Arabidopsis thaliana: one gene and its partner. The protein of the gene in region 1 interacts with the protein of each later gene in a pairwise test. Each region holds a gene or a part of one and is shown in the gene's direction. Other genes may lie near its edges.

Region 1 (5,536 bases):
CATGGTGGATGAGAACATGGCTAAAATTTGTTCGACAAGAGCGAGACTCGATAACCCTTTTAACAGATTTAATTTAGGTCTGAAGAGGGCATTTATAGTTGTTTTTTTCTTTTTATTTTGGGCCTTGAATTAGTTAGCCCCATATGGTTCCTATTAAGTATCTTAGAGCATCTCCAACGGGAGAAAAATGGAGCTCTCATGACAGTCTCTCTAAATTATTGTGGAAAAAAATAAATCATAAAGGTTTAATACTGAGAGAATCGTTTCTCTTAAGAGAGATTTTGGAGCTGAAGAGAGACGCATACGTGTCGTTGTTTTTCAGTATTTCTTTTTTTTTTCCGTTTTTTTTCTCTACTATCATCTTTTCACTGGGACTTTGAGGATCATTGGACTTACCTGAAACGAGCTGGCCGACGTTGATTTCGGTAGGCTTATCGGCTCTGAGATTCATGGATTCCATACTTTGCAAGGTTTGTTCTTCTAATCTTATCGTTCGTCTTGATTCATAGAACTGTTTTTGTTTGTTCTTAAATTCGATTGTCTCTCGGTTTTCATTGTCCTATTGTTTTTCTTTTATTTTGTCTGTCTGGGTTTTGGACTTTTACTCTCGATTGCTCTTTGATTCTCGTAGCTATTGAACTAGAATTTGCAAAAGGTTGTGGAATTTGAGGTTCTAATTGTGATTTTAATGTGGTGATTTGGAAAAGAATTTAGGGACATTTTAGGTTGATTAAGGGATCTTGGCTTTGATTTGAGATACCCATCTAACGTGAAGAAGCTAGTGAAGTATATTTCAACCCCACCTGTGGTAAAGTCTAATCTTTGTGTTTCGATAGTTTCCTTTACGGTGTTTTGTATCTGACTAATATCACTTTTGATGGCTAATAGAGAGAGCTTCAGGGGATAATCCATTTGGGTGGGTATTTTTCTGGCTGTACCACTTGCAGTTTCTCAAAAGTGAGTGAAGGAACTCATTTTGGTTGATTATACTCTGAGTGAAGGAACTCATTTTCGTTGGTTCTGCTCTTCTAAGTGAAGAGGGCTTACAAGCTTGGAAAGGTGATGGCCATGTGTTTAGATTGTTGGTGCATCTATGTACTTTCCATAGATCTTCCTTTGCAATCATTTAGTGGTGAACCTGATATGTTGTTATTTCCTGCAGCAAGTTTCCAACAGAGTAATATCATGTCTGACCGGAACCATACAACGGAACATTCCACATATCGTTTTACATTTCTATTGACCTTGACCTTTATGTTTTAATTTGTCAAGAAGTCTACTGCATTTCTATTCTCTCCTATCTCATTCCTCTTTATTTACTTGCTTTCACATGGTAAGGAATTGTGAATATATGGTCTCAGCCTCTCATGTTAGACATTTCTTCTATGATTCTCATTTTTTCTATTGTGAATAATTTTTTTTCCAGACAACTCTTTTAAAAGAGACTTACCATTGGACTATGAAAAATCTTTCAAAAAAATCAGAAGCTCTCATCTTACAAATTCAAAAGATTTATACTTAAAAAATGGTGAGATCCCATTAGGAGGCTCTCACCATTGGAGATGGTCTTATGAGTTCCGTGAAGCTCTCTCGTTATTCTTACAGGGCATGATTTCGTATAATATTTTTAAAAAAACAAACGATTGGGCCTTGAATTTTTAATTAGAAAGTTAAACAAAATCTAAAAACCCACATGTGGTCTCTTGTTTTTTTTGGTGTGATGGTCGAATATTTCTAAAAACCCACAAGATTTATTAACTAGTCTTACAAATTACGATTACATTTTTTTTTTACGTTTTATCTCATTGACAGGGTATAATTTATACCGTATAAATATTATTTTCTTGTAGATCAGTCTTTTCAAAAAATGTAGTGGGATTACTGAATGCATTCCTCTATAATTAATTACGACAATTATCATAGTTGGTTTAGAAAAAAATAGTAAAATTGCACGTTTGCATGCCTATACAATTCGAGTGTACATGAAACTTGATGTAGAGTACCATACCCATGTCGCAAAATATTATTATTTATTGAAAAAATTACAAAGTCGCGATGCAACAACCTTTGTACTATATGATGAGAATATAATATAAAAATGGGCAACAAGAACAAAAGAAAATAGAGAAAAAAAGGAAAGGATAATCTTCCACCTAAACAAGTCCAAAGAAGATTGCAAGTTGCAACATCCACTTGCTTCGTCCGGCGTAAGCTCTTTGATAAGGTCTCTCACCGTCCTCCGACTTTCTCTCTCCATACATACACCACATTTACATACGCCATTTACACATATATGACAAACCCATCAACATCTGTGCATGCACGTGTGCTCATGCATGTATGTAGTTTTTACTTCGCCATGATGACCATGTCTATCTTAAAATTTACCACAATCAATCAATCATGCGCGTTACAGTCGTGTGATATTCAAAAATTGTACATGTTATTTCTCATAACTATCACTTTAGTAGATTAAGATCAGAATGTGCATATAATAAGTAAATTTTAACAATAACAGCAACATATTTTACTATAACTAATGATTTATTTAAAAAAAAAAGATAAAACTAATTCTGAAATTTCAGTTTTTTCTATGAACAATTTATTAACAGTATTCATATGTAGATAAACCTTGTAGATTCTATAATATAAAATTTATCAAGATGGAAATGAGGGATCTATAGAATACAATTAATTTTGGTGATATATATTCAAGATAATGAAGGAGGCGTCTGAGGAAAGAAATCATGGGGGCATAAGATGGTACAATGTATCATACATGGTCACACACATCTATATGATACAAATGCGTCTATATACACAACTGTTTCTATATACATACAAACACAAAGCCTTCACATCCCCAGCTATCTCTATCCATCTATCTTCAAATATATATTTTTAAAAACACACAATGTTCATATCTTATTGTTATTGTTATAAAATAAAAGATGATCATACTTTTTAAATTTCTCAAACAAAACCAACTTGACAACCGACAGCGAACAAGATCAAAAAGCTAGCTCTCTTCTTTTCTCATCAAACTTATTTCTCTCTCGATCGCAATATATACGATTCCATAAATTCTCCCAAAAACAAATTAAGAGATAGAGGAGAGATCATGAGGTCACCGGTGCAACTCCAACACGGCTCAGACGCCACTAACGGTTTCCACACGCTGCAGCCTCACGATCAGACCGATGGTCCGATCAAGAGAGTGTGTCTCACGCGCGGTATGCATGTCCCTGAACACGTTGCGATGCACCACACACACGACGTTGGTCCGGACCAGTGTTGCTCCTCGGTGGTGCAGATGATCCACGCGCCGCCTGAGTCCGTGTGGGCTCTTGTGCGGCGTTTCGATAATCCGAAGGTTTACAAGAACTTCATCAGACAGTGCCGTATCGTCCAAGGCGATGGACTACACGTCGGCGATCTCCGGGAGGTCATGGTGGTCTCTGGACTCCCGGCGGTCTCGAGCACCGAGAGGCTCGAGATCTTGGACGAGGAGCGTCACGTGATAAGCTTTAGTGTCGTTGGTGGGGACCACAGGCTCAAGAACTACCGATCGGTGACGACACTACACGCGTCGGACGACGAAGGTACCGTGGTGGTGGAGTCTTACATCGTTGATGTGCCGCCGGGAAACACGGAGGAGGAAACTCTAAGCTTCGTTGATACTATCGTCCGGTGCAACCTTCAGTCTCTGGCTCGAAGTACCAACCGGCAATAATCTCATCTTTCTTATATAAATTGCAATTATGTATCTAATTTTTTTTGTTGTTCTATTTCTTTTAGATGTTCGATCTTCTTTACAAGGAAGAAAATTTCGAGTACCTTTTCTTTCTTTTTAAATAGATATATCGGCTTAGAAAGAATTGTAATTTAATGGGGATTTCTTTGGGAGATTTATGTTGGAAATTTCGAAGTACTGTTGGGGGATTCACAAAACTTTGGATTTGGAGGGTGTTAGTACTGGTACATAAAACATTTTAAGGTGAATCTGTTAAATGAATTAATCCATTTGTTGTTTTGTACATGGTATCATTCTTTGTGACATTGTTTAATTTCTTGTACTCTTTTAAATGTTACTCTTAACCGTTTTTTTCTTTTGTGGTTTGTAAATGAATATTTGATGCATCGGTATTGTTAATGATAGACTTATTAATTTATTTCTTCATAGTATGTAACATTACTATAAGTTTGTTTTTTGTTGGTTGATCCTTGTGTCCAAATGTTCTAAATAGAAAATATAATACAAAGCCGATATTCTGATCTAAGAATCAATTAGAATGAAGCCAATAACTGTTCCACTGTCTATAATATTACCAGAGAGATAAAAGTTCAGAAATAAAAAAACTCCAATTCGTTTAACTTTAAGATTTATCGTCATCATGGATCATATTAAGGGAACATCAAATTACCTTTAAGTATTGAGTATATATATTCGAATTATCTGTCTATTACACATAATATTCTCGGGACGTAACAATTTATTAGAAGGTACTATATGTAGATGGAACTGCGTGTTAACTAAGAGGGAAATTATAAACCAGGTTATGGAATTTAAACCTGATTAGCATGTGCATTTACATAAAACATATATATTAGACCTAAAGCAAAAGTAGACGTGCTTAAACTATTACCAACTAGTCTTTCATTGGCTACTAGTCTGGTCAAGTGGAGATTATCATTTTTTATTCCCGTTTGTTTTGTTAATAAATTATAACCAACCAACCTAGTGGGTTATATTTAATTCAAATATAAGTTTTTGGTCTACTGTTTTTTTTTTTTTTTTTTTTGTTCTGGTGGGTTTATTATAATTCGTTCGATTCAAAATTTGTATTTAAGAAAGTCTAAAAGGACATGCAATTAAAATTTAGCTGGAAACGCGTTGCAACTTGCTAGTTTTTTCTGCCCCTAGTGGGATATGATACAACGAACCCTTATGCCGGTCTTAAAGAGTTAATATTTCTTTTTATCCAATTTCCTTTTAATAATAATACAAACAAGGACAATAACAAATTATCAAAATCTTGTCAAAAGAGTATTATATATCATCAAGCACACTACTATATTATTGATTAAATGTTGATTAGTGTTATTAAAATTATCTTACTATATAATATTGGATGTAAAGAAAAACAAATGTATAACCAATATCAAAACTCAAAAGATAACAATTTTTATTTTTTTTTGGTACGAATCAAAAGATAAGTATTAAATATCATAGTATTTATTGCTACAAAATTCTTTATATTTATAATCTATTGTATCACTTTATTTTGTGTTTGGTAAAACATCCTCTTTTTCTTTCTTTTCGAACAAATAAATTGAGATAAACATATTTGTACTATTCTATCACTATCATCGTGTCACCACCATATTCAAATCCATATATACACAAATGATTAAAATTTTAAAAGTAATTTTTGTTTATAATACACAAAAATGAAGATACGTAAACTATCGTACCACATCTTACAAAATTATTCGTGACATTTTATCCTTTGTTGTCCCAAATTAGTGCTGAGAT
Region 2 (6,697 bases), about 22 Mb from region 1:
TTAAATCATAGGTTACGAGTGTCGAAATTCTTGTTTTAAAAAACAAAAAAAGGTTGGTACCAAATTGACAAATGTCGACTACGTAACATAGTAAAAGTTCAAAGACTACGCAATCTGCCGGCCATGCAGGCTCGAGGAAAAATCTGCCCCGGGAGAACACGTGTCGGAATCAAATTTGCCACGTAATTATTGAAACTTCTCCTTTGGTAACTGCGACCTCAACGACCATTAACCGCAACGTGGGGCTTGTGTCCGACACGCGTCTCCTTAGGCCTCAAAACTAGACTTTAGAGTTAAACCTTATTTATGTCTTGTGGACAATGGTGACACCTCATTGGTTCCTCGTAATTGCCGAACTTTCTTTCAAACAACTTACGTTTAGATTGGAACATTAAGCTTTTACAGACTAGTGGTTAGGAATAGGAAAAATATTTGTGTTTTGAGTTTAAAGTTTGTGTTTTTCAAACTAGATGTTGAGTTTGGCGCATGGTTTTGAAATAAATTTAAACAGGAGAATCCATTAAACACATAACTCAACATCGAGTTTGAAAAATGTATGAGATCGGGCATTGTTCATTATCAAGAAAAGCATTTTGTATTAATGTATATAACTAATCATGTGTGATGTGGAAATTCCAACGACAAATTGGTAAGATTTCAATTCAAAGTTACAAAACAAAGACGAGATAATTAATCAAACTAGCTAGGACAATATATTGTCTCCTTACCGAAAGCTCTCCAACCACCTACTAAAGTAACTAACCATGTTTCAGTTATAATTTTATTTTTTCGTATTCCTATCAAGTATCAAATGATATAGTTAACCAACATTTATATATATATATTGAAATCACTAAACAAACAACAAAAGTAACATAGATTTTAATGGAACTAATTTTCACCTTATATTTTTACATAAGATTTGAAAGTGATGGTTAGTGACTTGTTGGTCGATGACGAATTTGTTTTCAGGTTAAATTTTAATAATAATAATATTTGAAAGAAAGATGAAGCTTTCACGTGGCACAATGTATTTGCCTACTGTCAACTTCAAAAACCTGGCAACTGCTATGCAGCTTCAGAGGACACGTGTCATGTGTTACACACGCGCTTCGTTTTTTTTCAACCTTTTGATTTTGTTTTGTTCTGTGATGTGGGACTCACATAATTCAAATCATCATCCTATTGCTTGCCGCCACGTCCCAGAGAATTTTCCGCGAAAAGCTGAGCTTCTCTCTTTCTTTCCTTAATTTTAGTTAGGTTATGAATTATTTTTGTATTAATACTAACTAACTAAAATATCATCATCACATTACATAAACATAAGATTCATCGGCGTAACGTAAGTAACAGTTAAAGCCCAAATTACAACTCTCGATCCTACTTAATGCATAGTAAACGAATGTTGACACAGAAAAAATCTTGGTCAAGACATAAAAGTAGAGAATGTAAACACGTGTCGAACATCGAGGAAGAAAACAGGTCAGAGAGGGGTCAACGTTGTTAAATGTTAGTAATAGAGAAGTGGTCCCCAGTTTCCACCAAAACCCATCTACGTACTTGTATCTCATTGGATGTCATTCCTGATTGATTTAGAATTGAAAACGTTATATTTTGTTTATTTCTAATTGTTGATTGAATATCTTATAATTTTTGCCCACAAAAGAAAATTATAAGTGTATAATATATAGTTCACTCGAATTTAACATGTCCATTGTCCAATGTAGAACGTATGATCATTTCTGTTTTTCAGTTGCTTTTATTTTAAATTCCCAAAAACCCAATATTGTGTCAAACATTGGAGAATGATGTTCACTTTTATTGTATTCACAAAATGCTACTTATCAACTAAGAAAATTGTAATGTCAAACATAAGATGGTGATATTTTAAAAATAGATGTAAAATTAGTTTAGAACTGTCTGATAAGTCATAAGATTGCACGATTATAAATCATTGAATATTCCGGACACTTGTCAAGATTAAAACCATGAATAAGTTTTCAAATTCATTTTCATCATCTCAATTGTAAAACTAGGTAAGATATCCTTTAAAATCTTTGAATATTAGTTCCCCGGCCCATATAAAATCTCTTAAATATATTTATTTGAAAACTCTGACTGTTTGCACTTGCAGCATAAAAAAAGGGATGAAACAAATGGAACAAATGCAGAACAAAACTAATAGACCAGACAAGTAAAACAAACGAAACAAAACAAGTGTTGAAATGATAACTCACAAATTTGAACTTACTTTTCTAGCAAATAAGAAATTGTTCTAATTAAAAAAAAAAGCATATGCAGTCTCAAATTGTTTCTAAGAAGTATTCACGCACCAAGGTTATATTTGTAGTGACATATTCTACAATTATCACATTTTTCTCTTATGTTTCGTAGTCGCAGATGGTCAATTTTTTCTATAATAATTTGTCCTTGAACACACCAAACTTTAGAAACGATGATATATACCGTATTGTCACGCTCACAATGAAACAAACGCGATGAATCGTCATCACCAGCTAAAAGCCTAAAACACCATCTTAGTTTTCACTCAGATAAAAAGATTATTTGTTTCCAACCTTTCTATTGAATTGATTAGCAGTGATGACGTAATTAGTGATAGTTTATAGTAAAACAAATGGAAGTGGTAATAAATTTACACAACAAAATATGGTAAGAATCTATAAAATAAGAGGTTAAGAGATCTCATGTTATATTAAATGATTGAAAGAAAAACAAACTATTGGTTGATTTCCATATGTAATAGTAAGTTGTGATGAAAGTGATGACGTAATTAGTTGTATTTATAGTAAAACAAATTAAAATGGTAAGGTAAATTTCCACAACAAAACTTGGTAAAAATCTTAAAAAAAAAAAAAGAGGTTTAGAGATCGCATGCGTGTCATCAAAGGTTCTTTTTCACTTTAGGTCTGAGTAGTGTTAGACTTTGATTGGTGCACGTAAGTGTTTCGTATCGCGATTTAGGAGAAGTACGTTTTACACGTGGACACAATCAACGGTCAAGATTTCGTCGTCCAGATAGAGGAGCGATACGTCACGCCATTCAACAATCTCCTCTTCTTCATTCCTTCATTTTGATTTTGAGTTTTGATCTGCCCGTTCAAAAGTCTCGGTCATCTGCCCGTAAATATAAAGATGATTATATTTATTTATATCTTCTGGTGAAAGAAGCTAATATAAAGCTTCCATGGCTAATCTTGTTTAAGCTTCTCTTCTTCTTCTCTCTCCTGTGTCTCGTTCACTAGTTTTTTTTCGGGGGAGAGTGATGGAGTGTGTTTGTTGAATAGTTTTGACGATCACATGGCTGAGATTTGTTACGAGAACGAGACTATGATGATTGAAACGACGGCGACGGTGGTGAAGAAGGCAACGACGACAACGAGGAGACGAGAACGGAGCTCGTCTCAAGCAGCGAGAAGAAGGAGAATGGAGATCCGGAGGTTTAAGTTTGTTTCCGGCGAACAAGAACCTGTCTTCGTCGACGGTGACTTACAGAGGCGGAGGAGAAGAGAATCCACCGTCGCAGCCTCCACCTCCACCGTGTTTTACGAAACGGCGAAGGAAGTTGTCGTCCTATGCGAGTCTCTTAGTTCAACGGTTGTGGCATTGCCTGATCCTGAAGCTTATCCTAAATACGGCGTCGCTTCAGTCTGTGGAAGAAGACGTGAAATGGAAGACGCCGTCGCTGTGCATCCGTTTTTTTCCCGTCATCAGACGGAATATTCATCCACCGGATTTCACTATTGCGGCGTTTACGATGGCCATGGCTGTTCCCATGTACGACGTCGTTTTATTATAAAAATTATCCTTTAATTGACCGTTACGACGTCGGTTTTTAATTTTAATAATATGATGTTTAGGTAGCGATGAAATGTAGAGAAAGACTACACGAGCTAGTCCGTGAAGAGTTTGAAGCTGATGCTGACTGGGAAAAGTCAATGGCGCGTAGCTTCACGCGCATGGACATGGAGGTTGTTGCGTTGAACGCCGATGGTGCGGCAAAATGCCGGTGCGAGCTTCAGAGGCCGGACTGCGACGCGGTGGGATCCACTGCGGTTGTGTCTGTCCTTACGCCGGAGAAAATCATCGTGGCGAATTGCGGTGACTCACGTGCCGTTCTCTGTCGTAACGGCAAAGCCATTGCTTTATCCTCCGATCATAAGGTTTTGTTCGTTTTTTGATAATCTCTCTTGTTTCGTTTATCCATCGTTAAATGTTTATCCGTTAGATCTACGGTTATGGTTTACTCACTGTAATGAAACGAGAATTTCGTTACGTGTTGCGTTCGAAACTTACCTATTAATATTGTTTAATGCATTTTTTATTTATTATTTCATTTATTGGAAATTAGAATCTTCTTTAATGTGCATGCAACACCTGGACGACGATTAAGAATGTTTAATGACTTTTTACTTTTTAGATAGAGGATCTGATAAAGTTTATGAGTTTTAAGATTCTTTAATCCTTCGTGTCACTGTTATCAATGACTATATCATTCTCTCTCTCTCTCTTGTTTAAATTTGTTGTAACAGCCAGACCGTCCGGACGAGCTAGACCGGATTCAAGCAGCGGGTGGTCGTGTTATCTACTGGGATGGCCCACGTGTCCTTGGAGTACTTGCAATGTCACGAGCCATTGGTCAGTTAATTGATTACACTTGACGAAAACACTCTTGTCCCTATCCTAATGTTTGTACAAAGTTTTTCCGTACTTTCAATAATGATGATTATTAACTCTCGTTTCGCCGCGGATTTTTTTTTTTTTTTTCAGGAGATAATTACTTGAAGCCGTATGTAATCAGCAGACCGGAGGTAACCGTGACGGACCGGGCCAACGGAGACGATTTTCTTATTCTCGCAAGTGACGGTCTTTGGGACGTTGTTTCAAACGAAACTGCATGTAGCGTCGTTCGAATGTGTTTGAGAGGAAAAGTCAATGGTCAAGTATCATCATCACCGGAAAGGGAAATGACAGGTGTCGGCGCCGGGAATGTGGTGGTTGGAGGAGGAGATTTGCCAGATAAAGCGTGTGAGGAGGCGTCGCTGTTGCTGACGAGGCTTGCGTTGGCTAGACAAAGTTCGGACAACGTAAGTGTTGTGGTGGTTGATCTACGACGAGACACGTAGTTGTATTTGTCTCTCTCGTAATGTTTGTTGTTTTTTGTCCTGAGTCATCGACTTTTGGGCTTTTTCTTTTAACCTTTTTTGCTCTTCGGTGTAAGACAACGAAGGGTTTTTAATTTAGCTTGACTATGGGTTATGTCAGTCACTGTGTTGAATCGCGGTTTAGATCTACAAAGATTTTCACCAGTAGTGAAAATGGTAAAAAGCCGTGAAATGTGAAAGACTTGAGTTCAATTTAATTTTAAATTTAATAGAATCAGTTGATCATAACAAAATCTTACCTTTTTAAATTTATTTTTTGTTATATATAGGACGATGTTTATAGGAATATTAGAAATGTTAGACTGATATCTTTAAGAATAGGAAAAGAACCAAATATTTACTAAGGAATTTGTTTTCAAGTGTATTTTGTAACTAAACAAGGCAAACAATCGGTATAGAATACTTCAAAGGTTAATTGGGAGGATTCAATATTATAACATTTTTTTCTTATTATGTAAAACGTTTTTTTTTTTTTTTTGCCAACATAATCTATAAAACATGTTTATATAACTCTTCATCAAACGGGTATGGTTCACACTTTATCATGTGACATATTAGAAGATGTCGATCATTAAGACTGAACATTGTTTAAAGTACTTAGAAATCAAAATGATGATTCAAGCTTTGATAACTTCCAACCGTTTCCAACCGCCAAACTTTGGTAACTTTTTTAGAATCGAACTCCTAGCTATCGCCTAACGATTTTTTTGAACATTCTCGTTTTTTTTTCTTTTAAATGTCTTTGCAATTGCATAAACTGGTTTTTTTTTTTTTTTTTTTTTTTTGTCGGAAACTGGTTTTCTTTTATCATCCTGTTTTCAACTTTTATTCAATTTTTTTTTTCTTTTTGAAATTGAAAAACTGGGCTCGCTTTCAAGGTCAGAGAGTTATATATGTCCATGGGCCTATTTAACACTCCTATAAGCCCAAATATAGATATATTCCATTTTTGTCGCCGGCGATTTCCTCACCGTTAAATCGACGTTCGAAATTCCGAGGAGAGGAATCATACCATGGAATCGCACCACGCGTCTCTAGGTCGCCGTACTGTAAGGATATTTCCGATATGGCCGTCTTTATCTTCATCTGAAGACAGTTTCTTACATCGGTGCTTTTTTGTTGTTATTAATTTCTGTGATCTTGTAGTTGGAAGAGATTCGTCAAAAGAGAGCAGCTCAAAGGCTAAGCAAAGCTTCTTCAGGTCCAGATCTTAGTGAAATTCCCAATCCTGCCGGTAATTTTATTCATCTCCAATTTCAATGTTTTGCCATCTCCTTTTCCACTAGCTTTGCAATTTTGATTGACTACTTCATTATTTCAGATTTCCCAGTGATCAGAAAATCTGAGAGCGGAAATCGACTTTCTGAGGTAGCATTTCTCTGCTTATCAAAAATTGTACCTGGTGATCTAATTGGATTCTTTAGAATTGCGACGGTCTTGATAATGAGAATGCCTTAATCGAATCATGTCTTCTAGGATTTATGGACAAATTTGATTTTGCATATTGTCCTGAG

Evidence for each region.
Region 2: the proteins of PYL5 (region 1) and HAI1 interact in a two-hybrid assay, tested with the Arabidopsis thaliana proteins (one study listed by BioGRID).

What each region holds. Positions count from the first base shown.
Region 1 is NC_003076.8:1,606,253-1,611,788, forward strand, and holds PYL5 (Polyketide cyclase/dehydrase and lipid transport superfamily protein), read left to right. Parts: upstream 1-2,735; 5' UTR 2,736-3,121; coding exon 3,122-3,733; 3' UTR 3,734-4,275; downstream 4,276-5,536. Other genes in the region: AT5G05430 (RNA-binding protein), read right to left, coding at 1-18. UniProt on the Arabidopsis thaliana protein: Receptor for abscisic acid (ABA) required for ABA-mediated responses such as stomatal closure and germination inhibition.
Region 2 is NC_003076.8:23,893,119-23,899,815, reverse strand, and holds HAI1 (PP2C protein (Clade A protein phosphatases type 2C)), read left to right. Parts: upstream 1-2,876; 5' UTR 2,877-3,318; coding exon 3,319-3,795; intron 3,796-3,878; coding exon 3,879-4,181; intron 4,182-4,550; coding exon 4,551-4,656; coding exon of another isoform or gene 4,657-4,679; exon of another isoform or gene 4,680-4,788; coding exon 4,789-5,144; 3' UTR 5,145-5,412; downstream 5,413-6,697. Other genes in the region: AT5G59210 (myosin heavy chain-like protein), read left to right, coding at 6,197-6,232, 6,330-6,417, 6,505-6,551. UniProt on the Arabidopsis thaliana protein: Acts as a negative regulator of abscisic acid (ABA) signaling for stomatal closure in leaves, and controls water loss during leaf senescence. Activated by the NAC029/NAP transcription factor during ABA signaling in senescing leaves.